Linked DNA regions of Sus scrofa. The protein of the gene in region 2 interacts with the protein of the main gene of each other region in a pairwise test. Links are inferred from orthologs where the notes say so. Each region holds a gene or a part of one and is shown on either strand. Other genes may lie near its edges. The genes, in order: PTCD2, TRIM32, ABI2, UBE2U, UBQLN1, CLIP4 and UBE2V1.

Evidence for each region.
Region 1: the proteins of TRIM32 (region 2) and PTCD2 interact in binary tests that used the Homo sapiens proteins (3 or more experiments, as listed by UniProt). The two-hybrid records come from large-scale screens. The link is inferred for Sus scrofa from reciprocal best matches to the Homo sapiens genes TRIM32 and PTCD2.
Region 3: the proteins of TRIM32 (region 2) and ABI2 interact in binary tests that used the Homo sapiens proteins (3 or more experiments, as listed by UniProt). The link is inferred for Sus scrofa from reciprocal best matches to the Homo sapiens genes TRIM32 and ABI2.
Region 4: the proteins of TRIM32 (region 2) and UBE2U interact in binary tests that used the Homo sapiens proteins (3 or more experiments, as listed by UniProt). The link is inferred for Sus scrofa from reciprocal best matches to the Homo sapiens genes TRIM32 and UBE2U.
Region 5: the proteins of TRIM32 (region 2) and UBQLN1 interact in binary tests that used the Homo sapiens proteins (3 or more experiments, as listed by UniProt). The two-hybrid records come from large-scale screens. The link is inferred for Sus scrofa from reciprocal best matches to the Homo sapiens genes TRIM32 and UBQLN1.
Region 6: the proteins of TRIM32 (region 2) and CLIP4 interact in binary tests that used the Homo sapiens proteins (3 or more experiments, as listed by UniProt). The two-hybrid records come from large-scale screens. The link is inferred for Sus scrofa from reciprocal best matches to the Homo sapiens genes TRIM32 and CLIP4.
Region 7: the proteins of TRIM32 (region 2) and UBE2V1 interact in binary tests that used the Homo sapiens proteins (3 or more experiments, as listed by UniProt). The link is inferred for Sus scrofa from reciprocal best matches to the Homo sapiens genes TRIM32 and UBE2V1.

The regions. Positions count from the first base shown.
Region 1 is NC_010458.4:48,628,919-48,632,911, reverse strand, and holds part of PTCD2 (pentatricopeptide repeat-containing protein 2, mitochondrial), read right to left. Parts: intron 1,519-3,993; coding exon 1,405-1,518; intron 1-1,404. UniProt on the Homo sapiens protein: Involved in mitochondrial RNA maturation and mitochondrial respiratory chain function.
Region 2 is NC_010443.5:257,064,392-257,067,819, reverse strand, and holds the end of TRIM32 (E3 ubiquitin-protein ligase TRIM32), read right to left. Parts: coding exon 1,936-3,428; 3' UTR 909-1,935; downstream 1-908. UniProt on the Homo sapiens protein: E3 ubiquitin ligase that plays a role in various biological processes including neural stem cell differentiation, innate immunity, inflammatory resonse and autophagy.
Region 3 is NC_010457.5:106,856,343-106,860,335, reverse strand, and holds part of ABI2 (abl interactor 2), read right to left. Parts: intron 2,087-3,993; coding exon 1,940-2,086; intron 1,208-1,939; coding exon 1,083-1,207; intron 1-1,082. UniProt on the Homo sapiens protein: Regulator of actin cytoskeleton dynamics underlying cell motility and adhesion. Functions as a component of the WAVE complex, which activates actin nucleating machinery Arp2/3 to drive lamellipodia formation.
Region 4 is NC_010448.4:148,300,346-148,304,338, forward strand, and holds part of UBE2U (ubiquitin-conjugating enzyme E2 U), read right to left. Parts: intron 2,998-3,993; coding exon 2,916-2,997; intron 1,919-2,915; coding exon 1,826-1,918; intron 1-1,825. UniProt on the Homo sapiens protein: Catalyzes the covalent attachment of ubiquitin to other proteins.
Region 5 is NC_010452.4:31,274,357-31,278,788, reverse strand, and holds the start of UBQLN1 (ubiquilin-1), read right to left. Parts: upstream 2,874-4,432; 5' UTR 2,616-2,873; intron 2,376-2,615; exon of another isoform or gene 2,351-2,375; 5' UTR 1,911-2,350; coding exon 1,731-1,910; intron 1-1,730. UniProt on the Homo sapiens protein: Plays an important role in the regulation of different protein degradation mechanisms and pathways including ubiquitin-proteasome system (UPS), autophagy and endoplasmic reticulum-associated protein degradation (ERAD) pathway.
Region 6 is NC_010445.4:110,174,358-110,178,350, forward strand, and holds part of CLIP4 (CAP-Gly domain-containing linker protein 4), read right to left. Parts: intron 709-3,993; 5' UTR 694-708; coding exon 561-693; intron 1-560.
Region 7 is NC_010459.5:51,661,345-51,665,920, forward strand, and holds the start of UBE2V1 (ubiquitin-conjugating enzyme E2 variant 1), read right to left. Parts: upstream 3,155-4,576; 5' UTR 3,099-3,154; coding exon 3,077-3,098; intron 1-3,076. UniProt on the Homo sapiens protein: Has no ubiquitin ligase activity on its own. The UBE2V1-UBE2N heterodimer catalyzes the synthesis of non-canonical poly-ubiquitin chains that are linked through Lys-63.

The DNA.
Region 1 (3,993 bases), on a different chromosome or scaffold from region 2:
GCTGCTGGAGTTTTATGGATCAATTCATGTCTCAACAAGCAGTTCCCCGAGTGGCCTCACAACAACCAGAGGACACAGGGAACTGGAGGTTGAGCTTTCTGAGTAAATGAGCCTTGTAGGCTTTAGGGGAAACAAAACAACCAGCACTTTTCAGCGTGAAGTTTGTTTGGATGGTTCAGTCACACGACTAGAACAACATATGCATGAGCCAGGTCTAAGGAACACACACACACACACACACACACTCTCCAGCGCTCTAACCCCGCTTTACCTTCTAGTTCCCTACCTCTCTAAACATCCTCCGGAAAGGTGTGGGTGAGGCACAACCTACACAGCGCTAAGACATCAAATAGAAAGAAGCTTTAGACTTAATCCTATCCAATTAGTTTGCCGACAGGCTCCCTTTGCCAGCCTTCTAAATTTCAAATAACTTACAATTCCTCTTTGTGTGCTTAAGCCATCAATGTGACACATTGGTTCCTCTGTTTCATTTTTCTTTCAATGTTTAGAAATTGCTTCTTTTCAATTTTAACTTATTTTATAATTTTGCAAAGCACTTATATGGTTCCATCAGTTGGTCTACTCAGGAGCCAAAATGAGAGTTCTAATTAGAGCAGCTTTAGTGTGGCTTCATATCCAGCAGGTCTGGCACCTTTTCCTACTCTTCTTTCCCAGGGTTTTCCCAGCTACTCTTGCTAGTTTGCTCTACTAAGCTTTAACTATAGGAAAAAAACCTAACGGTATTTTTATTGTGATGTTACATTCTCACATTAACTTTGGAAGAACTAATTTTATGCGGTTGAGTCTTCCTATCTAAATACCAGGTCTGTCTTTTCACTTGTTTAAGGCGGGGAGCTCTTTTTAAAGATGAGATGCTCCTGTCTACTATGTGCCCACGGGAGTGATCCACAGGCGCAGTGCGGAGGCTCCAAAGGGGTGAGGGGAGGGCCCCAGGCGCAGCTGGGGAGCCGAGCTGGCTCTAGAGAGCTGTCTGTCTGTAGTCACCTGGGCTTCAGGAGGGAAGGCAGGGTGGGGGGACAAGGAGGCAGCTCTGCTCTGATTGCTTCTATTTCCTTCTGAGACATGAGGCAAGGTTGACCCCTGAAGCATGAGGAGTGGGGAGAAGGAAGTGGATGCTTGAGGAGAAAGGGAAAAAAGAGAGCCGACCCCCGTGCAAACAGTGTGGGGAAAGAACTATGTAAAGGGAGAAAGCTTTCCTCGAATTGCAGAGGCTCTATTACGTTAGAAGGGAGAACGGACTTTGCGCCCACACACTGACAAGAGAACAGCGAGGCAGCCAGATCTGTGCCTCTGTTTAAGGAGGTGGCCTTAGGGGACTAAGGTACTGAGTGGCCGGTTCAGAGACTGCCCCTGCTCCGTTCTGTCATCTCTGTCCATACTCACCACTTCTTCTGAGAACACATGTTTTTTCACAAATCTTGATAAATTTCCCTCTGTGGCATCCTTCAGGATTTCTATGAGGGCTTTCAGCATATTGGATTGGACATGGATCATAATCTGAATAAAAAGAAGAAACAAGCAAACACAAGACGGAGCCAGTCATCAGCACTGAGCAACGAACCCTGTGAGACGAGCCCACGTTGACAGCCCCCCCCCACTTTCAGGCCAACTCCTCCTTCATTTGCTCGCACAGGTTCAAAAGAGCTTCGAAATGAATGCCCACAAGCCAAAATTTGTTTTCAGTAGCTAATCAAAACACCAAAACTTCACAACTTGCTAAAGGGCAGAAATGGGGGAATTCTAGAGTCTGGCATAGCGGGGCCAGAATCCCGGCACTGGCAGTCACCAGCGGAGTGACTCTGGCCAGGTATTTAATCTCTTCCACTTCCTGTATTTGTAACATGAGGAAAATACAGCTCACATTTGGGGTTACTGTTAACATGCAGGAGGTACTCAATAATCCTTACTGCTAGTTTTTCCTATTTCTTCTAGATTCAAGGCTGAGACATTCAGTCTCCTAAAGACTGGCTCTGGGGCAAATGATACCTTTATCTTTTTAATTTAACTTTGGGGTTCAGAAACAGCAGGGATAGAGGTTGTTGCAAGTGTAGAGTGGAAGCTGGTTAATGTCTTAATGAGGAATTCCTATTTACATGGTAGCTAGTAAGGAACTTTCAAAAGGGGGCCCTAGACGTGGCCTCCGCGTGATACTGCTCACCGCCTGCCGTCAGGTACAATTAACAGAAGGGCAAAAACACATTCTCCTGCAGCCCTCCCCATTGCCAGCGCCCGCTGAAAAATACAGAACAGTTTAAAGAAAATGAGAGTACCTCAGAATTCACCGACTGATGTTAACCATTGTTTAAAATCTTACGTATTATCTTCTAAATAATTTTAGGGAAAAAAATAAAACCTACTTTTTTTTTTTTTTTTAATCCTCATGACCACCCCATGAGGTAGGTATTATTATTATGCCCATTTTGCTGATGTCTGAGTGAAGCACTGAGAACTTGTCAGATCACATGGCCAGCACCTGCAGGGCCATGTTCTCTCTGGGGCTCGATTGCTGCTTCCAGAAAGACAAGGGGGTCACAGTGAACTGTGGGGACACCATGAACACCTGGATGTGTCCCTGACCCTGGGCCAGCCCCCTCCTGATAACCTGACAAGTCAGCAGGGAGGGCAGGCAGGAAGAAGGTGGGTGGGTTGGTCTTAGGTCCTGTGTGTGTCACGGTTTTCCCGCTGCTTCCTACATGTCCTCATCTCAGCCTCACCCCAACTGCCTGAGAAAATGGAGACCCAGTAAGGAGGTGACGGGCTGGAGCCACTGCAGCTGCTCAGAGCTGGATCCTGTCGGGGGTCTTGGGGGTGTTTCTCTCGCACCTCAGCCTTGGCAAGCTCAGGGGACGCTGCTGGCCCTGCTGGTGCAGCAAAGACAGACTCTGTTTGTAGCTGCCCCGGGTGTATCTGGCACCAACCCCTGATAAGCATCAACTATTCGGAAAGCCTTTCTGAGCCAGTATGAAGGTCAAGTTCCCCAGGTCCTGATGCTACAGGACAGGAGCAGGGGAGCTGGGAACGAGTCTCCATGCTTCATGTTAGGAGCTCACGCTCACCGGCAGCACTTGCCAGCGGGAGCTGCCCTTTCTGTGACTAGGGTGTCTGAACTCATTTCCTATCTCAAAACCTAATTTTTAATAACGAATGCAGAGCAATCCAGCATGTAAATAATGCAGCAAATAAAGCAATTACATGTTTTATTATATCAATAAATGTGCATACTTGTTAAAAATTGTTACTTTCTGGAGTTCCCGTCATGGCACAGTGGTTCACGAATCCGACTAGGAACCATGAGGTTGTGGGTTTGATCCCTGGCCTTGCTCAGTGGGTTAAGGTTCCGGCGTTGCTGTGAGCTGTGGTGCAGGTCACAGACGTGACTCGGATCCCGCGTTGCTGTGGCTGTGGTGCAGGCCGGCAGCTACAGCTCTGATTAGACCCCTAGCCTGGGAACCTCCATATGCCGCGGGAGGGGCCCTAGAAATGGTGAAAAAAAAAAAAATTGTTACTTTCTTAGATTTGATTCCCAGAAGTGAAATTACAAAGTCAAAGGGTATAAACATTGTTTAAGGCTCTTGATCTTTAGGAAGGATGATTTTTTTTTTTTCTTTTCTGGAAGAGATATTCCTTTTTCATACCAAACCAGCTAAGTTCTCTTAATAGTCCTTGTTATAATATTGCATGTTTGCTGAGCAGCTGATCAGAATGAGAGGTGGTCTTTGGTCCTAAAGAACGGAATGAAATGATCCTAAATGGGCCCAACTCCAAAGGACCTGATTAGGTGCAGTGTTCTGGAGCACAGGCAAAACTGTGAGCACAGCCCTCGTCGGGAAAGAACACTCTGTGGGTCGCTCACCGTCAGGCAGGAGCACTGACTGTCTCTAGTCCAGACTATACTGTCAAGGGTGTCTGCACAACAGCAGCCTGGGAAGACAGACAGCGCACTGCTCATTTTAAGAGATTTGGGTTTCCCAA
Region 2 (3,428 bases):
GGGTTAGGTCTAAGTGCCGAATGCCAACAGCGACAGCACTTCCTTCCAAAAGCACAGGCAGTTAGGAGTCCTGGCATTGTTTATATTAAGCCAGCCTGCAGCACCATTTCTCCGCTGCAAACCCTGTGCCAAAGGCCTCAAACACCATTACTGCCTCAGCAAGTCCCCCTCTGACAGCAAAGATAGATCTCCTGCTGCCAGGTGCTACAACAGATAAAGTGGCTCTAATAACTGGTGGAGTCAATTCGCGATGCATTCTTAATTGGATCAATTTCCTCTCAATTATACAGTCTTTGAAAATCGGATGCAATTTCATAATCAGAACGTGGGGCTTTTCTCCAGGTGAAAAGCACAAGACAAACTAGTTTGACATCATTTTAATTAGCTTCTTTCCTATGCTTTGTCAGCTATCACAACAGAAGCCAAAAAAGCACCACCACCACCAAAAAGCAGTTTTGAGAAGCTTGGCTTAGTAGAATCTGCTCTGTGAAAGCCAGGTAATAGTTCTTTGGCTTGTCATCAGCCCTGCACCCAAAGAGCAAGATATGTTGCTTGTTAAACACCAAAGCCTGAGGAACCTTGTCACAAATTCCCTCACCCACTTCAGGTCTTCCTGAAATCACAAATTCCTTCCTCTTTTGAACTGTAATTATAAGGATAAAGCAGGTGGAGGCTGAGTTTAAAACAGGGTGCTGGTGACTGCAGACCTTGGAGGCTGATTCCATACACAGGTTATGTGGGAGTAGGATCTGGATTAACTTGACATAATGGTACTTTTGGCTGAATGGTGACCTAGGTAGATTCTTACCATCCTCAAAGGATGGAGTGTCAGGTGTGGAAACAAAGCAGCAGATACCACCCCCACCTCCCAAATCCCATATTTAATGAAAAGACACGAACACCAGTGATGAAGAAACAGTTATCAATCATTTAATGCTTGATAGAGGAATGGAAATAAATCCCCAAACCAAATATGATGCACTCACTTGAGGAAAATACAGAATAAGGACCCCACAGTTTTAATGATGAAAATGAGATGTGTCCCCCTCTGCACTGTGTTGGCCCCAGCCTGTGTTGTACAATTCCACAGACAGCTCTTAGCACAGGTCAGTGGAGAGAGGTAGTATGAAAAACGATGAGCTCTAGAGACTACCCAACAGTGTCTTTTCACTATAAAAGCATTTATTTCTGTTTATTCCCATTTTCCTATGCTTTGGCCTAATTCCAATCCATATGCTCCTTTGAAAGGCTAGCAATTTCCAGGCTAAGGCCTTCAATACCAGCCAACAAGGGTCAATCCATCCTCTGTCACTGCCACAACTGGAGACCAATCCAAGATAGCACAGACCCCCCCAGAGCTGAGAGGCCCTGCTTCCCAGAGGGACTGTATGTCTCCCTTGGTGGCACTAAGTGAAAGGTGCTCTGACCCGAGACATCATGCCACAGGGATAGGATGTCTGAAGTGTCACTGAAAGGTGCAGCAGGTCCCACTGGAGCATGCATGCTAAATGCAGCAGAGCTGAAGAGAAAGTCACAGATGGAGTGTATATCAATAAGGGAGGAAATAATGGACCAGAGTGGTCAAAGCCAAAAGAGAGAAAAATCAACAAGGATTCAATACAAGGGCAAATTTCAAATACAGGGGCAAAAGGCTACTGAAGCCCTGGAAGTGTCTAGGTTCTACTCAAACATCGGCTAACCTCATATCGTGTCCTATTTAGGGCAGTGCATCTGTTAAAGCTCTAAACTTAGGGAGGAGATAATGCAAATTAAAACAAACAAACACACTAAAAGAGACAGAGCTTCTAAACTTCTAGGACTAGCCAGCTGGAATCAGGACACAGGCCAAGTCTACGCTACAGTACCACCAACCACCAAGGAATGAGGGAAGGGAAGATGGCTGAGGAGCACAAGAAACTGCTATCACTCAGCCCCCTAAGGGGTAGAATATCTTCTCAGATGGTAGCTGTAAATCTTGATGCAATGATCCCAACAGTCCAAGACCAGCAGCTGCCCCTTAGGAGTGAGGGCGATGCCCACTGGACAGGTGAGCCCCTCTCGGATAAGGACACTATAGCCGCCCCCCTTGGGGAAGTGGAGAATCTCCTTGCGACTGCTGTCAGCCACGATGAGATCCCCACGCGCATCCACACACATGCCGGCGATACAGCGGAAATCCTCGTTCTCTGAGAAGAAGTGGCTGATCTGGCGACCCAGCTGCCCGTCGGGGCCCACAGAGCCAATGGAGAAGCCGCCCTCCAGGTGGTGCTCATTCTGCCGATTCTCCAGATTAAGGCCCAAGCCCTGGGTGAAGTAGACGGTGCCCTCGGTGTCGCAGGTCACAAACTTGGGCCGAACGGCACTGCACAGGCAGCTGTACTTGACCACCCCTGCTCCTCGGTCAACAGTGAAGCACCAGAGCTTTCCACCCTCCACATCAGTTACCACGAACTGGCCGGATGGAAGGGCTGTGATGCCCCAGGGCTTGCTCAACTGGCTCCTGTGACAGGCCACGCAGTGGCCATCCAAGGTGTACACCTTGAGGGAGTTGTCATAGCTGTCAGTCACACCGATCAGCCCGTGGCAGTTCATGGCCACTGAGAGAGGAGTGAGATTGGGCAGATCAGCCCCAAGGAAGCTCAGCACAAAGCTATCGATGCCGCTGGGGCTGCGGCGGATCTCCTTCAAGAAGCCTTTGCGGGTAAAGACTTGTATACGGTAGTTGCCTCGGTCAGCGACCAGCACCTCGCCTTGACCAGTCACGTAGAGGCTGACCGGAAGGTTGAACATGCCTGGAGTGCTGCCTTTGGCCCCCATCTTCTTGAGAAAGAGGCACTGCTGGATGCTGGCGGCTGTCTCGGCTCCCCGCTGCTTAGCAGGCGAGGCCCTCGGGCTGGCAACTTCCTCGGGGCTCATGTCCATCTCTCTAAATGTCACAGAAGTAGAGGCAGCAGAAGCCGCAGCCTCCATGGCCCAGGAGTCTTCCATGTTGACTGTCCGGGGCTTCTTAACCGCCTGCCCGATTTGGAGGGGGCCCACGTGGCCGACCTTGAGGAGCTCCACGTCCTGCAGGGTCAGCTCGTGGGGCAGGCTGGCGGTGAGCTCGGGCTCCTCCTCCTCCGCCGTCTCTTCCAGGAGCGCCACATCCGCCTGCTTGATCTTGGCCAGGAAGTAGTCACAGCGGGACACAGCCTGCACCTCTGCGATGTTGAGCAGGTAACTCTGCTCCTCCACCACTTGACTGTTGGACTTTTCAACCTCAGCCAAAGAGCCTGTGAAGAACTTCCGAGAGCGAGCCAGCTCCTCCTGGACCCGGCGCTCCTCGTGCCCGTACTCCTGGAGAACGGCTTTATACCGTGCCTGCAGGTCCTTGGAGACACCTTCCAAGGCCACCTTCCGCCGCTGCAGCTCCCCCATGAGCTCCCGTA
Region 3 (3,993 bases), on a different chromosome or scaffold from region 2:
AGGTGCTCCTTTTATATTGTTATTTTTACCATAACATTCTGTAATAGTATACAAAATTAAACATAACACCAGAAAACAACAGTATGGAGTTCTCGTCATGGCTCAGTGGTTAACGAATCCGACTAGGAACCATGAGGTCACGGGTTCGATCCCTGGCCTTGCTCAGTGGGTTAAGGATCCAGTGTTGCCGTGAGCTGTGGTGTAGGTTGCAGACGCAGCTCAGATCTCGAGTTGCTGTGGCTCTGGTGTAGGCCGGCAGCTGCAGCTCCGATTCGACCCCTAGCCTGGGAATCTCCATGTGCCACAGCAGCGGCCCAAGAAATGGCAAAAAGACAAAAAAAAAAAAAAAAAAACCATATTCCATTTTGATTTACACGAATCAGAAACTAAACATGTATCCAGACATAAACATCTTATTGGTAAAAAAGAATTTAGAAAAATACAAATCTCCTTTTCATGACTTTTAAAAAGATATTATCTATTTGTTATTAAAGCAAATTAAATATGTAATATCCTATCCTTAATGTCTTTTGGGTCATGTTTTAAAAACTAAATTTTAACTGTGAGTCCTCAAATTAAACAAGTACATTTCTCTGTTTCAGATAAGATCGGGTGCATTCAGGGTGGTATAGCCATACATTATTTTGTTTCAGAGAAAAGCGGGTAGCATTTCAGTGATTATTAAGTTCCAGAGTCAGCTAAATTTAACTAGTTAATTATATCTGTCCAATCCTTGGTTACCAATCTGATCCTCACACTGGGTGCCCACTGTGTCCAAAGGCATGCACTGTCATAACACCAGCTGGAATTAAACACGTAACTCATTCCAAGGTGGTATCTGAAACCTCAAAGCACCACCTCAGCCATAGCACCAAATACATTAAACCAAATAACAGAGAAGTTTGTAACAAACTTACAAATCACTTGGCTAAAATAACAAATGGATAAAGATTTCTCAACATTTAGACTCTTAAAGGGAAAAAAAAAATCCAATTATGAAGAAAACCCACTGTAATTAAATCAGAAACTCAACTCAAGACTCCAAAAGGAGAGGTGATGATGAAGCACAATGCATGTTTTACCTGGAAAGACACTGGGTGGAGAGGGGGTGGGAACGGCAATGGGGACTCCCACACTCCCACTTCCACTGTTCTCCCGACTGCTGCTCCTACTGCTTGGATGGCTTCCTCCACTACTCCCGCTGCTGCTAAAGGAATAAGAGCCACCAAACCATGAGCATTTATATATGGTAAGGTATCACCAGCATTTTCCAAAATTTTCTGAAATGAATATAGCTATACGATGATAATTCCAAAGTCTTTCACTTCAAATATGAATTCCTTAACAGAGTAAAGGGAAAAGCCGAGTTCAAAAAAACTTGTTTTGGATACCTTTTAACGAGTATGTATTAAAGAAGTTGGGAAAGAAAAAAAATTCTCCATCAATGTAAGTGACAAATGATGGGGCTCAACACAGAAAAATAATACTCCTTTCTTTCATTCCAGTTTAAAATGGCTGCCTGAGGAATCTTTTTTATAATAAAAAGTTTTCCTAAACAGATTATTTGATTAATTTTATTTGCAACATCACGACTACCCCATACTAGTGTTTTATTGCGTATAGTTTTTCATCTGTAAAGTTCCACCAAAAAACAACTTGAAATTTCCCACATCCGGTCCACAATTTTTTTTCGGGTCAACTAAAACTATCGATCTTGTAAAGGAGTTTGCACTTTGAAAGGTTTGTTCTTTTTCAACTTGCTGATTGCTCAAATTTGCATCAGAACATGAGGAGAGAGAGGTGGAATCAGATGAGGTTTGGAGGAGTAGAGTGAGGAAAAGAACTTAGTGCTTGGAAAATGAGAAAGGTTTAACTGAAGTTATCTAAACAAATTATGGTACTATGACCATCACATTTTGCGCTGAGGTAGAGAAAATACCTGTAAGTTCGATTTCTTTGATTCACAGAAGCTGTCCTCACAGGGCTCTGCTGCGAGGGAGCCATATTACGGGTTGGGCTAGGTACGTAATCATTTGGTACCACTGGAGGACGCACTGGCTCCAGTGTGCGATAGGGGGAGTGCCGCCTACAAAAAGAAGAGCGTATGTAGCGTGTGATTAGCAAGTTTCGGCACAATAAATTCAGAGTTGCCAGTAGTGAAATACAATTTGTACTCGAGAGATAGTAAAATGTGTTTTAAAAAAACCCAGCTACCAATTTCAGTATAAGTATCACCTCACCATTAGGGTTTTGATGCTACTGTTATTTTTTAGTCTCTGACCTCATTTCCCTGTGCCAATGCAATTTTGTTCACTCATTCTGAGAGCATGAAGATTCTCCCACCTGGTAGGCCAATGTTTCCCAGACTCTCTTCTAAGATACGTTCAAAGTATTTTAGTGCCAAATCAAATTCTCCCAACTGCACTGTACGAATGCACTAATTGTCTTCCTCACCCCCTCTCTCCCTAACCAAAAGTATTCAAAAAGTAAGGTAAATAAATTTAGAATTTGGCTCCACAACCCCCACACTGATGATCAAGAGCAACAACAATTCAATTCCTTTTGTATACAGCTAGTACACAGAAATAAAACTGTATCTCCACACAGAGAAATAAACAATGGAATCTCATTCTCCATTCTCTCTTCACATCCTCCTTCAACTTCCACCCTGACTGCCCTTACCCTCTTCAGAGTTCAATATTCAAAAGGGAGAGAAGAAATAAAAAGTCACCTAAGTCTTTCTACCTTATTTACTTTGAACTGTAAAGTACAAAGTAAACTGGATTTCATTAGCATATTTCCCTTTTTTTCCCCTCAAAATTCCCTTTTAAAAGAAGAGAATGAGAAGAACAAGAAAGGAAATATGATAGGAAATAGGATACACACTGGAACACTAGTGATTATTTAAGTTAGTTCTCATCTTTACATTTCCAAATTTTTTATGACAAACACTCTGACATGAAACTGATACTGTATAGATGAGATTCTGGTCTTTAAAAAAAAAACAAAACTGGATTTCAACATGTGAAAATTAAAGACTCTTCTTCTCCTAAAATGACATTACTCACTTGACTTATGTATTTCTCAATAATTCACTCTCCTGGAGTTCCCGTCGTAGCTCAGCAGTTAGCAAACCTGACTAGGATCCATAAGGATGTAGGTTAGATCCCTGGCCTCTCTCTCAGTGGGTTAAGGATCTGGTATTGCCATGAGCTGTGGTGTAGGTCGCAGATGCGGCTTGGATCCTGCGTTGCTATGGCTGTGGCATAGGCCAGCGGCTACAGTTCCTACTGGACCTCTAGCTTGGGAACCTCCATATGCCGTGGGTATGGCCCTAAAATACACAAAAAGACCAAAAAAAAAAAGTAATAATTATAATTCACTTTCCCAAAAGCTCCCCAGGTTCCTTTAAACTGTTCTGGGCCACTCAAGGGCTGGCTCACTGATTTGGAATGAGGTCACTTTGCAATGACCGTGTCTGTTCTATTACCATCAAAATCTGGCATAAACAAATACACACATTATTAAAAATGAATCAGGGCACTAAATGAGACACTGGGTCAAAGAAAGAAAAATGAAGGTCAGAACCTTGGATTTAAAATATTCCATATGCCTCCAGGCGACCGAAAAAATAAAAATAAAAACAAAAATAAAATACTAAGAAGTGTGGGCATCTCTTAAATTTTAACGTAAATCAAAAACACAATAAAATAGGAAACTAATTTCCAAACAATTTTTCCCAGAAAATAAAATGTTCTGTTTCATCCAAGAAAAAAAACCTCTGCTCATTGAGAATTATACAGTGAAGGCAATAATAAAACAAGGTAAAAAACTAGGGGCAGAGAACAAAATATGGTGGCTAGGCAAAGACTGCAAGAAAGCCAGGCTGTGACCATTAAGTTGCTAGTGGTGCTCAGCCACTCTGGTCTCCAAGGATCCCTGCAGAGCCCTTTCTAATACACAAGGAAAACAAATACCAGTATATGAGTAAAT
Region 4 (3,993 bases), on a different chromosome or scaffold from region 2:
TGAATGTGTATACAAAACAGAAACAGATTGACCGATAAAGGAAAAAAAAAAACACTTGTGGTTATCAAAGAGGAAAGAAAAGGAGGGAAAGATGAATCAAGAGTATGGGATTAACAGAAACTACTGTGCGTAAAATAGATAAGCAACAAGGATATACTGTAGAGCATAAGGAATTATACTCATTATTTTGCAATAACCTATAATATAACCTATAATATAATCTATTATATAATCTAATATAATAACCTAGAATATAACCTAGAATATAATCTGCCAAAGTTCTGCAACACTTTGCTGCATACCTAAAACTAACATAATATTGTAAATCTATTATACTTCAAATAGAAGAAAACATATTCTTTCATACTTGTGCTAGCATTTCTATGAAATAATTTATAAACATGGTATTACAAGGATTTAGGACTATTTGCACTTTATATCTGATATGAAACTGTCAAATTGCTTCCCCACAAGGTCACTCTATATATCATTATATCAGAGAACTCTTGTTTGCCCACCTGTACTGTAACTGTATGTTATTATTATTTTTTTGGCTATGTCCACAGCATGTTGAAGGTCCTGGGCCAGGGGTCGAACCCATACCACAGCCCCAACCCAAGCCACAGCATGACAATGCTGGATCCTTAACCCACTGAGCCACAAGGAGGGAACTCCTGTGTTGTTGTTATTATTATTATTATTTGTCTTTTTAGGGCCACACCCATGGCATATGGAGGTTGCCAGGCTAGAGGCTGAATCAGAGCTGGAGTCAGAGGCCTACACCAGAGCCACAGCAACGCAGGATCTGAGCCACGTCTGTGACCTACACCATAGCTCATGGCAATGCTAGATCCTTAACCCACTGAACGAGGCCAGGGATCGAACATGCGTCCTCATGGTTTGTTAACTGCTGGGCCACAATGGGAATGCCTGTGTTATTATTTTTAACATTTATTTTCTTTCTAGTGAAGCTGACATCTTTTTATGTTTATTTTCACTACGTTTTTTCTATCAAATGTTGGTTTATAACCTTTGCCCATTTTTCTATTGCTTTATGTTTTTCTTATTGATTTACAGGTGGTCTTTACATATTATAAACATTCTAATTTATGCCTTTCAAATATTTTTCCTCACTTTACAAATGTCAATGCAGTTTTGTCTCTTTATAATGTTGTTAGTTACAGAGACATTTTTTAAAGTTTATGCAATTTAATGTGTCATGCTTTTCTCGTAGTTTCTAGGTTTTGTTATTTTTAGAAAAGCCTTCCTCACCAGCATATTAAAAATTCTATTAGGTTGTCTTCGTTTTAATAGTCGAAATTTTTACATTTATAACTGATCAACAATTTGCATAACTTGAAGTTGCAATCTAACTTCTTTTTAAGATGTTAATTTGTCAGTGCATCATTTTTTTTTAAGTAAAAAATTAGATCCAACTAAAATACTGAACAACGCAGGAATGGTTACGTTTATCATTCAGTCATTAAAAGTTTTCTTTGAAGAATGTTTAATAATACAGAAATAAATGTATTCTGTCATTTTAAGTAAAAAAGATATAAAACTTTATGTGGAAATACCTCAACTATGCAGATAAAATGCATATGCAGAAGAAAGGAAATAAATGTGGTTAAATGTTGAGAGTTGCATCTGTCTGAATTAGGAATCAGATGGATAATTTTTTATGCCTTTTAATATTTTCCTGAGTAAGTACGCTGACTTTTATAATCATAACAAAGTGATTAAAAGGAATCATTATTAAACACTATAAAGAATAAGGTTAATAGGGAAAGAGCCCATGACAATAATAACTTCATTTGTTCCTTACCATTTGGATGAAAAGGAATCGTTCTAAATCGCACAACTGGAGGGACAAAATTGTACTCTGATGTAAAACTTATTGTCAGTTGGAAGAATGATCCTATGATATAGAAATAAACATTTTTACTAAAGTGTCACGTACTGATTAACTGTAACCTGATTAACACTGGAGTTTCTTTGCACAGTTTTGACTCCCCAAGGTCCCAAGGATTTTATGAACAGGTAAATTGGATTATAGACCCCACTAAACAGTGTAATAAGAGTCCTCACAATCTAATCTCCTGTTTTCAGCATTTCCATTCCCACCAGTCCTTTCCACCCACAGACTCTGTGGAATCTCATATTTACTGTGTCCCCTTCATTGTGCACCTCATATTTACTGAGCTCATTGCTTCAGAACCCTCTCTTGTATAGAGGCTTTTGCTAGGCTCTTTGCTCTGCCTGGATCACCTTCTCATTCTAAATCTGGCCATCACTCATACATTCTTCAGGACTCAACTCAAGTGTCACTTCCTTGGGAAGCTGTTCCTGAATCTCTAAGGCAAAATTAATCACGGCCTTCTCAGTCATCCATTCAAAATCCATAATGGCACATTATATTTTACTGTAATTATCCACTTAACCTGTTTTTCTCTCCTACTTCACCCAAACAAATATATCCTGTTAATCTGCTTCTGTACGAGTGCATGGTCATTAAAGTTTATAGCACCCTAGTCTTCTTGAGAATTTGATTTGTGGAGATTTGTGAGAAAATCAAAGAGGGAAAAGAATGAGACATAGCTGTGGGATTTTTATGCCAGTATGTATTTTAATTGCCCTTCTCTGGTTTCATGGAAGACTGTGAGATGATATTTTCAATTGATATGCTTTACGTTCTGCTTCTTAAAAACATGATATTAAGATGTGGCATAAAGAAAAATTCAGGCCTGAAATTCACACCCATGTTAACAAATAGCAATAAAATTAAGCCATACGATGAAAAAATAACATGTGAATACTTTTAGAATTCTCAAAAAAGTATATAATGCAACATTAAAGAAATTAGACTAATAACATAAAGACTTTTAAAAAAGTAAAGTATGTTTGAAAGCACAAACCTTGCCAAATTGTATTCTGCAGACCTTTAATATCAACTTCCCATTCCAACAAATCTTCACTGATAGGAAAGGCATTAATACCCTTTAATTAAGAAAAATCAAAGCAGAAAAAGGATTAGTTATTGCAGCTTTGAAAATCAAATATTAGGTTGCAATAAATTCCCGAAGCTCTGCATTTTCTTTTTCTGATAAATTTCTTTATTTTTTGATTTGGGAAGGTGTTATATATTGTCTTACTTCACAGAAGTTAAGGCAGATACCAGAAAACACACAAAAAAGTACATTTAAAATAAATCATTAGTGTGGAAATCATGAGTGGGATAGGAAGGTCATGAATGGAATGTGTGGCTTATGCAAATCAACAGACAATATAAGATTCAAATTTCGAAAAGAATAGTTAGAAGCATGCATTTCTTCAAAGCCTTTAAAAGCCATATGGAGGCTATATAAGTATAAAGTAAGAAAAATTTCATTAAGTAAAACACAACTCCAATAGCACGCTCATATATAAGAATAAAACACTTGAGCTATTATTCCAATGGAGAAACAAGAATACATTTCATAGATAAAGGTTATTCATTACACTGAGGAATATGCTTAAACATAGTCAATAAACACTCTGAGCAACCACACAGTTATTAGCTATGTTGAGTGCTAGTCTGAATAACCATTACATCTTTTATTATCTACATCAACTATATTTACATATCATTTCTCCCTTCATCAAATTTTCTTTCAACAGCAAGCCACAAATTCAGGTGGAGCAGGAACAGTATCCAATGTTACTTTCACGCCTCTAGGATGTTTGATGTTGAACTCAGTAATTGTTCCTAGCATCCACTAAGACAATGCTTCCACGGCAGGAGTGGAAACCGAGCAATGCCATTGAACTATACCTGAAGGAGCTGTTGATAAGGACTCTACACCTTCCTATGCACAGCTTTCTAGTCTTAAGTAGTCCCTTGACCCTTCCATTTTTTAAAAATTCTCCATATTGTTTGTGATGAAACAGCTATGGCACCTGTGGACATTGATAACATCATTGGTGGCACCTGGGGTAAAGCCTTCCTCTGTGTTA
Region 5 (4,432 bases), on a different chromosome or scaffold from region 2:
CAGATTACGGTGGTATATCCATACAAAGTAAGAATCATAGCAATGAAAAGGAACTGCTGATGATACACAAGGAGTCTCAAAAACACTAAGCTGAAAGAAAAAGCCTTACTCAGAGTACATACCCAATAATCCCACTTATGTGAAATTCTAGAAAAAGCAAAATGAATCCATGGAAGAAATCAAAACAGTGGTTAACGGAGGAGAGTCACTGAACTGACTGGGAAAGGGCAAGGGGGAAATTTCCTAGTCAATTATAAAGTTCTACAACTTGATAAGGCTTCGGATTACACAGGTGTATGTACGTGGGAAAACTCATGGAATGGCAATTGTGCGCTTCACCGCAAGTCAAATTTAACTAAAAAAAATTTAGGTTAAAAAAATGAATTCAGGTTAATGATAGGCACATTACTAAAGTGCTTTTTAAGAGTAACATGTACTAATGCTTAAAACTTACCCTGAAATGCATCCGAAAAAATAAAATTAATTGTATGACAGAGCAAATAAAGCTAGATACTAACTGTAGGCAATGGACACATGGTGTTCACTGCACAATTATTTCAATTTCCCTGTATGCTAGAAAACATAAAAACGTTAAGGAAATTTTTTATAGTTATATTGAGGGAAAAAAATATGGTGATTCAATAGGTGGTCAAAGTTTCTCACTTGATGCTACACACTCTACTTACTACTTGACAAAACACAACACCTTTCAGAATTATATATACAAATGCCCTAATCATTTATTGTTCCTAGGGACATTCACAAGTACGTTTCAGTAATTTTTGCTTCTTCATAAACTGTTCACGCTGAGATCAACTCAATAATTGTAGAAAATATCCTGAGACGTATATTCAATAAGCTAAAACAATGTGTTAAATTCCTCAAGACTATTAACTGCGGGATTTGTATTCCTGAACAGATTTTAAGTAGCATATTTGCATGTTCTCCATTAACTCCAATTTCGTTGTTATCCGACTGCATACGCTAATATCTGAATAACGCAGTTCTCCCACTAAAATCAAACAAAAAACCTCCCCAATGATTGGCATCTAAGCGATGACAAATACACTTTAAAAAAAGACCAGCAAATCGTCAATGAAAGTCATCCCCTCTTCTGTTTAAGCCTAGTACTAGCACTTAAGATATGGCTGAAAACAATTTCTACGTCATAGTTAATTTTTTCTTTAAAGATTGGAAGATGGGAAAATTTTCAGCACTCAAAACGCAGAACCAAATGTACACGTGCTCGTCATCCCCCAATCCACCTTAACCTGTAGGCAGGTAAAACAATGAGCATCCCCTTTTTTTTTTTTCACGAGACAAAATCGCAGACTAGGCTAAGGCGAACCCTAACCCAGACTCCACCCCGCCCGGAGCCAGGCGGCGGGTCCCTTTCCTTTGTGAGGAGCCAGAAGGAGGCGGCTGGGGGCGGGGAGCTGGAGGAGGAGGCTGGGGGTCTGTGGACGCCCGAAGAAGGAGCCGAGAGAAGCAGCATCTGTTCATCCCCCAAAAAGGCCGCGCGGCCCCCGCCACAAACCTGCGATGCCCCCAGGAGCAAACCCACGAACTTGGGTGTGATCGAATTTGGGATGAGACGCGGGAGAAAGGATGAGGGCACCTCCGGGGACGACCCCCACCACCGCCAAACCCTTGCAAAACCGTCTCCTCCCACGGCGGGCGGAGGTCCTGCCGCCATCCCCACTACGCCCCGAGCCTAGGGCGGCCCTCACCTGCTGGACTGAGCTATTCTCCGGCACTGCGAACTCCTCCTTCTCCTTCGGGGTCTTCACGGTGACTTTCATGATCTTGGGCTCGGCGGAGGCAGCGGCCGCGGGGGCGCCGGCACCTTCGGCCGCGGCGGCGCTGTCCTGGGAGCTCGGAGGGCTGCCGCTTTCACCATTCTCGGCCATGGCGGCGACGGCGGTGACTCAGGCGCGCAGGAGGGAGCGGGCGAACGAGGGGGAGCCAGGCGACGCCAGAGCCGGCCGGCCTGGGCAGCGGAGAATGTGGGGCACGCTGCCTCGGTGACAACGGGCGCAGGGCTGTCCTAGCGGGCGAGGGGCCGCGAAGCTTGGCGTGGACCCCGGCGCAGGCCCGGGTTGGGCGCTCGGCAGCCGCCGTGTGTTCAGATGCCGCTCGCTCACAGCGACATCCGCAGCCGCCGCCGCCGCTTCCTCCTCCCCGCCCCTCCCCCCCACGTCCCTCTGCCGGCGCCGCGCGGGGCACGCCGGGTAACGCGGCTGGAGACGTAGCCGAGTCATGCCAGGCCGGCGCCGCTTGGGACTCTGGCTGGCTTTTTTGCCCTTTCCTGCTCCATTGCTCAAAGCGTAGGCGCGTTCAGAATGAAGGACTAAAAACAAAGTGGGGTAGAAGAGGTCAGTTCATTTCTTTTTACCCCTTTCACCAAAAAATAAACTCGCGTGTTCTCGGGGAGACAGAAAGGGCGCAGAGGGATGACGTCACGGCTAGCGAAAGTACTGGAAAGGGGTATCGACCACTGGGCGCTGCGGCTGGAGATGCGCGTGCGCGCTGGTGGGCCAGGTAGTTTCCCCAACCCCCTCACCTTACACCCCCCCTCCCCCCGGTGGCGGTGCGCACCCCCTTAGCTCCCGTACCTGCTTTGCGTAGCCTGCTGCGAGGAGGGTCTAGAACAAATGCCCGCAAGGTGTTTCGTTGATTTTAAATGTGCTTGATTCTTACCCACTTGGAAGCTTTAAAACACTTGCTCTTATAGCCCGGTGCGCGAGAGTTGAATTATGAATTAATGGAGGAAAAAAATCCTCGTCCTAAGAAAAGGAAAATGGAGTACATGCCTGTAGCCACCTTGCGCAGTTTCGCGGAGTCACTGCTCCATGGCCAGAGCTTCCCACCCTCGGGTCAGTCCCGTTTGGTCAGGTGATCAGGCCACCTGTGTTGACAGTGGCCTCTCCTGCGTTGACAACCCTGCTAGTGCATCCTGGAGTTCTCTGAATACTATCCCCCCAAATGTTTGTGGCACAAGCAGAGTACCCAAGAAGTGCCCACCCAACTGGGACAATTTAATGAAGCTCAGGTGTTCATTTTATATTCTTTCAAATTAAGTTACTGCTTCATTTCAGACTTCAAGTGGCATTAAAGTTTCGAAGATTATATTCAATGAAACATGGGTACAAATAAGAAACAGTAAGTTAATTTCCCTCTAAAGAATTCTAAATTTGAAATGAACTTATCATCTGCCTTTGAAGATGACTTGCAAAGGAATGTACAACACAGGACATGAACTTTATTAACCAGTATTGCACAAGTGTAAACTCTGACACCCCACCATGATCCAAATATGCAAGGATACGTACTGTATTTCTGTTCTTAAGCCATCCAACTCTGTTCTGGTTATAAGTACTCTTACATGAAGACCACTTTTTAGCAGAGCTCCTTTGGAATCTCGGTCTAAGAGGAGCTCTCAAAGTGTAAATTGCAACATAGGCATCATCTGATATCAGCTACATTCCTGGCAGCTTGTTCAATAATAGCATGAAGAAGTTACACAAGGCTCTCTGCTAGAAGATGACTGTTTGTTTGTGTCTGGATGTGAGGTAATCATTACTTGTCAAGGTGGAAAGTTCTGCCATTGGAAAACCAATCATTTATCTCTAACCCTACACTTAGGAAAAATTTCTCTGTAATTATTTATATCTACATCAATTTCTACAAAAATTCTGATGACTATGCTCAATTTATGGAGTAATAGAATTTATCTGTAAGACTATGTAGTTAAGTAATTCATTAGAGCCCTTTTTGGATACAACTCTACCTTGTAAGAAACCATCGAAAGACTAGATAGTAGCTGTATCGGGCTTTGTGGACCATACATTTTCCATCTCAAATACTCAGCTCTGTGCTTGTAACAAAGAACAACTGCAGACAGTGTATGGGTAACTAAGCCTCCCTGTGTCCTGGTAAAACTACTTACAAAAACAGGCCTAGGATCTGATTTGGCCACAGGGTGTCTGAGGCATATTCTTTTGAACAATTTTTGTTTGTTAAATGATTGGTGAAACAAATATAAGAGCTGGAGGTCCTGTCGTGGCACAGCAGAAACGAATCTGACTAAGGACCGTGAGGTTGGAGGTTCAATCCCTGCCCTCGCTCAGCGTGTTAGGGATCTGGCATTGCTGTGGTCGTGGCTGTGACTGGCACCTGTAGCTCCAATTAGACTCCTAGCCTGGGAACATCCATATGCCTCGGGTGTGCTCCTAAAAAGAAAAAAAAAAAATTTCAAGAGCATATGTCATTCATTTTACAAACATTAATTGAGCACATTAATGTCCAAATACTATGTTGAGGATACAGAGGAAAATAAGAGTCAGTGTCTGCCCTCAAAAAAGAGGCAAGGGAGTTCCTGCATTGTCACTGCTGTGGCACGGGTTCAATCCCTAGCTCAGGAACTTCTGCT
Region 6 (3,993 bases), on a different chromosome or scaffold from region 2:
TTACAATGGGAGACAAATGAGACAGGATCCAAATTAGGCTTGCTTGTGTATTAAAACACATCACTTGTCATTACACTGCCACCCAAGTTTGGGCCATTTCAGCAGTGATTATTTGGTTGGTTAATTAGAATCCTATCATTTCAGAGACAGCAGGGCCTTTCGAGATGGCTAGCTCACACTGCTTTTATGTCTCCTTTTTTTTTTTTTTTCAGTACATGGCTTTTTAAGCGAGTCAGCGCATTTAACCAAAATAAATACATCAATAGCAGAAGAATGCTAAATGTCTAAGCACCACTGCATTCTAAAAATAAGATCCTCTGAATCCACCATGGTGCTTAAAATGAACACTTTTACATAATAAAAGTGCTGACAGTCGAAATAAAGCATTTGGCTTAAGAGGCAGAAAGAGCAATAAGCAACTGTATTCCTGAAAAAGGAAAACTTTAGCAATTTTACAAAAACCAAAACAAATGGTTTTATAAAAATTAAAAATATAAAAAGGTATAAGACAGAAGTCAAGTTACCAGTTCATAGAAAATAAACACAGCTACATAACCTACCACAGTCTGAAGGCATTGGTGCTGCAGAAATGGAAAAAATAACTGGTGTATCGGAACCTTGAAATAAAAATGGGTATCTTCCAATCAGAGAATTTCCTTCTAATGGAAAATCTGGAAGGTCCTCTATGGTCATCTTCTAGAAAGCCACCTTTAATGAGAGGGGGGAAAAATATATCTATTATATTAGTATGCAACTTAGAATGATTGCCTTCAATCAAAAAAAGCCTACATTAAAAAAAAAAACTAACATATTGATATTTTGAACTTCAACCTTCAAGAACCTCTTTTAAAGAGGAAGGGGAAAAAAAACTTCCTTTAATCAGTCTTTGTTAGAAAGTACACATTGCTTCACACTGTTTCTCAGGGTCAGCAGCACATGTAATCTTTTTAGACAAAGCTCAGTAGTAATAAAAATACTATACATTCCCCAATAATATGAGAAAACAATTTAAAAATGCTGAGCTAACCCAAATGGGTGATGTTCCCTTTACTCACAGTAACAAATGAGGACATATCCCTGCAGATGGATCTCTAACTTCTAACAGGATCTGACAAAGGTTCTATCATCTATCATCCAATAGCTCATGTCATGTGCTCATCACATGAAAATAGTCTAGTTTAGAATGTTCTCATTATTTTCTGACATCCCAGAACACTTTACTGATAGCAGATCACATCTCACATCATTCCTACGAATCTAAATCAATGAGCTTACTGACACTGTTCCACGTCTCAACAAGGTAGAGGATCTGTTCCATCTCTCCTAGCAGCAGATGGAAGGCCATGCCTTCTAAACCATAGCACTTATCTTACCTCTTTTTTTTTGTTTTGTTTTTCCCAGAAAACATGAGCACTCAGAATAAAGTTACTCTAAATTATACGCAGCTATACACTAGCCCACACATCAGAAATGACACCGAAAGCAGAAAAGGTGTAAGTACAACTGAACGATGAAGCTAAAATCCTTCCGGTTTCGTTTGTACCAAATCTTTGAAGTGTGAAATATTATGAATCAATACATCTGTTTGAAATATAAGCAGAAACCTATGTTATAAAACTAAATAAAAATGATTTTAGATTATTTCACTAGAAAGAATAGAATAAGTGAAGATGGTTATCTGAGAGCTCACCCGAGCAGAAAATGCCATGCTATTACTCAATGTGTGTTCTATTACACTTGGTTAACCAACTCTATATCCATCATCTTTAACCACCGCATTTACCTACCATCATCCCGCTGCTTCAAGGAAAGAGTCACCTCTCTAGCTAAGTGCTTTGTTCCCAACTAGATTTATATATTTTCTGAATACTAGTAGGAACTAGTAAAGAGTAAGATGATTTCTTTTTTCTCTTCAGGTACATGTTGACACAGACACATTATATTATATATTAAATAACGTAATCCAGTGTTACTGTGTTAAAGGCAGTCGAGGTTTCTTGGATGCTGAAATTACCTGCCACCCAATACTTTGAATCAGATTGACATTCCCCTTGTCACATATGAAAGATTGTTGTCATACAGTATGGTGAGCGTCCTCAGATACTAACAACTCCAAAAAGTAGCACATAACCACAAATACAGCCCTCCTTCAACACTAGAGCTTCTCAGTATTCAAAGCCGGTCAGGATTTCTACTTGTTGACAAGGCTCTACTTTACTTGGCAGTAAATTTAGGCAAAATATTCTATGCAGGGTATGAAGCATCCTTTAAAGTCAAGGAACAGAGATAAAGTTTAATAAATATTAAGATGTATAAGACATTACACTATTCTAGATGTTTCAGAGAATACAAATATGAGTAACAGATGGTCGATGATTGTGAAGTAGCTTACAGTCAGTTAAGGTGACTAAAATAATACTAATAACTAAAAATGACAAAATAGTATGAGATATGTTCCATAACCTAAGTACAAGGAACATTTGCTAGAGAGCTCTTGAGAATCAGAAATGGTGCAGTGAGGAGTTCCCTGGTGGCTCAGAGGGTGAAGGATCCAGCATTGTCACTGCTGTGGCTCTGGCTACTGCTGTGGCATGAGTTTAATCCCTGGCCTGGGAACCTTCACATGCTGTGGGCACAGACAAAAAAAAAAGTGGTACAGTGAAAAAGGTATCACCTAAGATAGGTCCTGAAAGATGAGCAGGCAGAAACAGAGGCAGCGATTTAGAAGTGGAGCCCATCAATGGTTTTTTAGGACTCGCCCCAGTAATGCCTTATATACCTGACCAAACACCAAGCCACTTAATTCCACGATCACTAGGAAACCACTGATTTTTTTTTTTAAAGCAGACTACACTGGGAGTTTCTGTCATGGCTCAGAGGTAACGAACCCAACTAGTATCTATGAGGATGCAGGTTTGATGCCTGGCCCTGCTCAGTGGGTTAAGGATCCAGGGTTGCCATGAGCTGTGGGGTAGGTCGCAAACGCAGCTCGGATCCCGAGTTGCTGTGGCTGTGGCATGGGCCAGAAGCTACAGTTCTGATTCAACCCCTAGCCTGGGAACTTCCATATGCCATGGGTGTGGCACAAAAAAAAAAAAAAAAAAACCACAAGATTACATTCACACTTTGGGACTCAGTCATGTTTTTTTATACTCTTAACTTTGCAGCAAAATGATTAGGTGGTTATCTTTCTGAGTTGGTTAGTTGGTTAGGAGGAAGCCACATTTCAAAACCTCCCTTTCAAAGAGTGGGGTTTCTCATTCAAAAATATTTTTTTAAAATGGTCTTCAGAGCATACCTTTCATTTCCTGGTAGACTGGTAAGATTCTTAAAAATAGGAACTGCATCTTACACAACTATCACTTGCCACAGGAGCTAGATTAGTGTCTTACACATATTTAGTAAATATTCAAATCCTAGATTCAAGGTGGAAAGATGATTCATTCAATAAGATGTAACAAATTTCATTTCACATGTTAGATATTTCAAGCCCCTGGAAGCTACTATATTACCTCAATAATGCAGTGAACAGTCTTCGTATTTTCTTCTTCATGCATTTTCCCTAGTTCCACTGCCTTTTTTCCATGAAAAACCCAACATTCTACCTCTGTCTCACTTAAAACTATATACCTCTGCAAACTTTATATAGCTTTAGAATACTTTCCTAAAAGCAATTTTTGGATCTAAAGGTCTGGGAAACTTGGTCAAACCTAGAGATGAGCTGGATTGAGTACATACTTCTATTTCAAATCCTACTATGGTTAACTGGTGATAATGAATTATGCAAAGTCAGCCTAAGATTTAAAAGAAAAAAAAAAAAAAGGCCCTAAATAACCAACAATAGATAATAGATGCAATAACAGGAATTAAAACCCTCAAATTTTGATTTACATAGGAATCCTATCACCCCAGCTCTAAGTAAATGCAACTTGTAACGTGACTCTAATATTTAATGGTTTTTCAGAGATTCCTAGTCAATGTCCTAACACAGAA
Region 7 (4,576 bases), on a different chromosome or scaffold from region 2:
AGGGTTAGCAGAGAGGCCTGTACACTTATTTTAGTATAATACAAATAAAATCTTTCTGCTTCGACCGTAGCACTCTGCACTCTTACTGCTTGGAAGCAGATATCGGATCTTTCTCCTCTTTTTAAGACTCTCATTTATTCATTCAACAAATATTTACTGAATGTCTCTTTCAGACCAAACACTTGTTAATGGCTTCCCTTCACACAGAATAAAATCCAAAACCAAGAGTTCCCGCTGTGGTGCAAGGGGTTAAGAATCCAATTGCAGTGGCTGGGGTCACTGTGGAGGCATGGATTGGATCCCAGGCCCAGCTCAGTGGGTTAAAGGATCCTGCACTGCTATAGCTGATGTGTAGACTGGATTCAATCTCAGGTCCAGGAATCTCCATATGCCCAGGGTGCAGCCATTAAAAAAAAAGAAGGGGAAAAAAAAAAATCCAAAGCCGTATCTCTGCAACCCATCTCTTTAAGAAGACTTCCTTGCACACTAAGGCCTTTATTTTATTCTTTCAGCATGCCAAGCTTCATCCTGCCACGGGGCCTTTGCACTCACTGTCTCCCCCTCCCCTGCCTGTGACACACACTGTTGGCTCCTTCCATCATTTGTCTCAGTTCAAATGCCCCTTCTTGGAGAAGCCTTTCCTGACCACCTCTCCAGACACTATTACATTACACAATTCCCTTCACAGCATTTACTGTTATCTGAAATCTTCTTAATTATTTTGTCCTTTAATGGGCTTCTTCCTGACTTGAAGAGAAGCTCCTCAAGGACAGGGACTATGTCCATCTTGTTCGCTATTCACACGGAACACAGCAAACCCTTAATAATATACCTGTTGAATAAATAAAGGAGTTCTGGGAAACCCATTTTAGGGCAACTCAAAACCTGTTCCATCTTATCTAAACCATGCCAAGTGTTCTTATATGCCACTAGACAGCAGCTGAAGATGTTTTATCTGACCACCACAGCATTTATGAAGAACTCTTCAACTGGCAGGGCCTCAAGAAGTTAGAATTAGGTAGCTGTTAAACCGGATTATAGGTAGCCACTATCAAGTGATTGCCAACAGGGCTGAGTTGCAAGAGCACCATAATGCTGGCTGCTCCAGGCACAGTGCACCCCCCTGTTCATAGCAACCTGGCAGGGGTGTTATTCTAGTGAGAGGTTTCCCACAGCAGTCTGGCCTGACTCAGCCTCTCTCTTCTGAGAATGTCTCTGGCGGTCTCTTGGTAAATGAACTGACTCAGCACTGTTCCAACTGAAATCAAAATCTAGGAAAATGATGTATGGTTTCCTCTGTCCTCTAGGAAGACCCCATTGCTTTAAGTATAAAAGGCAGCCTGTGGCAGGTGACTTCAGTCAGATCCCCCACTTCAAATTCCCTCTATTCCCACTATAACAATCAGCCAAAGATGGCTCCTTAGGATACTGGAGGGGGACCATCGTTGAAAGACACACTCCCCCCACCCTGTTCACTTTGGGTCACCGACTCTCTCCTAACAACACTGCTGCAGCATCAGATTTCAATGTCCGGGCTGGTGGTCCTGTTTGCTTTTTCCATCACAGGTCACCCACTGTCACCTCATCTGGGAGGACTTCACTGGCCAATTTGACTGCCAGGCACCTCAGGGGACAGCATCCTCACCAAAAGGGAGGGAGACACTGTCATTCCCAAATCCTGCATTTCCAGAATCAGACTCTCTTGCATCATCAACCCCTCTGAGGGACCTTCCTCAGGCAATCCTCAGCCTGCCTGCTCCAGAAGGCCATTTGAGTCCATCCCCTGATGCTCAACTGGGAGTGTTAACTCTGAAACAGACCCTTCAGGATTTGATCCTCTGGCACATCTCAGAAATGTAGAGCAGGGAATCCAGTTTCAAAATAAATGCTACTTCCCTTTATCTACTAGGGCCTGGTAGACCCCCCCCTCCACACACACACACAAAGTGTAGCCCCCTCATGCTCTCTTGCCTCTCAGCCTTCTTCTCCAGTCACCCAAGGTTCCCATTTCACTTGTCCCTCTCCCCATGCCCATCAAGTCGATGGAGAACTGCTGAGCTGAACAACCATGTGTTATCAATATTCAAAAGAGTGGAAAGGAGTGACACTCAATAAAGATCTTTTCTAAAAGAAATATTTCTGAAACCCGACCTTTTCTTACTGTCACCCACTGCATGGGGCTTCCCTCAGTTGACTCCTACCCCAGACACCTCCAGGGCTCCCAATTCATCTCTTCTTCGCCCAGTATCGCAGGCTTCCACCAACTGCCCTACCCGGAGCTATCCAAAAACCTAACATCTATCTTCTCAAATAGGGGCCTGGTAACCATGGGGTCATTTCACTTTCTGATGCTCCAACGAGATCCCGCTGGAATCCGAGAAATCCTTTTCCCCTTCTCTTATCCTGTAGAGATACCCCGAATCTCCCCAAAAGCAGACACCCCAGACACCCCCTTTCTAATCAACATAGAAATTTCCTCAGCTAACCCCATCCCCAAAACTAACACTGGAGTCGTCCCCTGAACCAATGGGGGATCCTCTCAATCACTTCTCAGAATGCTGTTTCCTTCCCCCATCCATCCGGAGAGGCTTCTCTGAAGTCCCCGCTAAATGGACATCCCACGGTTGCTTCCCCCCCGCCTAGACCCTCAGCACCCAATAAAGGACTTCCATTCGTTTGGGGGAGCCTCCTCGTCCTCCAGAGAACCCCTTGATCTCCCCCCAGAGAGCCGCCAGCTCCAGTCTCCTCAGGGGTGTCTCTGGGCTCACCCCTCGCCCGCTCTCGCCGCCCAGCAGCGCAGCGGGGCCGGGCCCTTCCTCTCAGCTGGGCCCTCACACCGCCCGGGGGAGCCTCTGGGCCTTGCCGCGCCTCCCACAGGCCCCTCAGGCCCCCGCCCGTGCTTCCGGCCACCGCCTGCTCCTCCTCCCCACTCAGGCCGCCTGGGTCGCCGCCGTGGGGCCCAGCAGACAGAGGCAACGCAGAGACCCTAGCCCCGCAGCAAGGGCCTTTGCAGGTCCCCCGCCCCCGGCCCGAACCCCTGCCCCCTCGGCCGGCCGGGCCCGGCGCCCCCGCTCACCCGAGCCCGTGGTGGCTGCCATCTTGCGTCGCTGTCGCTCAAAGGCCGGCCCCTTCTTCACCCCCCGCCCGTCCCGGGGCCTTTCTACGCATGCGTGTGCGCATGCGCAAATCCCTCCGCTGACGCCAGCTCCGCAGACCGCGGGACCCGTTGCCGGGAAGGTTTTTTTTTTTCTGCCCTTTAGGAGAGGAAATATTTGCGTGCGCCATGGCCAGCAGCTTGCAAGGTCCTTCAGGTTTGGGTGCGAAGGAGCTATTGAGGTGCTTGGTGAGAAAGGCAAGGGTGATCAGACTTGGAAAGGCGTGACTGGGAAAGAAAAAGATAAGAAAGCTTAAAAAAACCCGCGTATTGTCATAACCTATAATGGAATATAATTTGCAAAACAACAACAGCACCACACCACAAAAACCTGAATCCCTATGCTGTGCACCTAAAGCTAACACAGTATTGTAAATCGATAAAAGTAAAAAAGTAAACATGCAAATTTATAATATATTTTTTAAAATGCCTATTTTGCTTTAAGCATTTTCCTATCTAGTTGGATCTTCACATTTCTACCAGGTGGGGATAAAAGAATGAAGCTGGGATTAAACTGCAGAGTGAAGGGAAGAGGTGTTAACCGATTTAACTAAACTCAGCTGTTAAGTGCCTCAGTCAGAATTTGAATGTGGGCCAGGTGTCTTGCTTCCAGGATGGATGCTCCCAGGCCAGAAGGGTCTTATAGAAGGGTAGCTAAAATGGTTTGGGGGGCATTAAAGTGTCAAGGAACGCATTCCCCATTCGCTTGTTCCTTCCTTCATTCATTATATCAAACAAATATTTACTAAGTATCTATTATGTGCCAGATGCAGTCCTAGGTGCTAAGGATGACTATAATCCCTGAAAAAGCAAGCCCTTGCTCTCATGGGCTTACATTTTAGTTGGAGACAGGAAGAAAGTAAACAAGTGGGAAAGAACATAACTATAATAGGATAGAGAGTAAACTAGAGAAGGAGTGGTCAGGGAGGGCCTTCTAAGGCCTCCTTCAAACTTCAATAAGGACCTGAATAATAGGAAGGAGGTAGAGGGAATGGCATGTGCAAAGGCCCTGGGGACATTTTGCAAATGTTAAATCCAGAAGAAACTCTTCAATCTTAAATGTTCTGAGAAGCCCTTAATATGGATATAGAAACTGATGCTGAGAGAGGTGAAAAGATTGCCTCAAGGTAACACAGCTAAATATGGGCAGAGAAAACACCAGGGCTTTCAGTGCAGAGGAACAAGGAAGTTGGAAGCCTTCACTCAGTGCATGCAATTCATCATTCTGTTCTGACAGCAGTGTCTCCTAAGCATCTCTCTTCTCCATCCACTTCTTCCAGGCTCCCCCTTTCTCCCACTTGGATGACCTAGCAGCCTCCATTCTTGCCCTCATGTTCCATTCTCCTTATGGCAGCCTGAGTCTGCTCAAAACATCCTTCAACTTAACTTTTCAGTGGCTCCCCATTCTCACAGAATAAAACA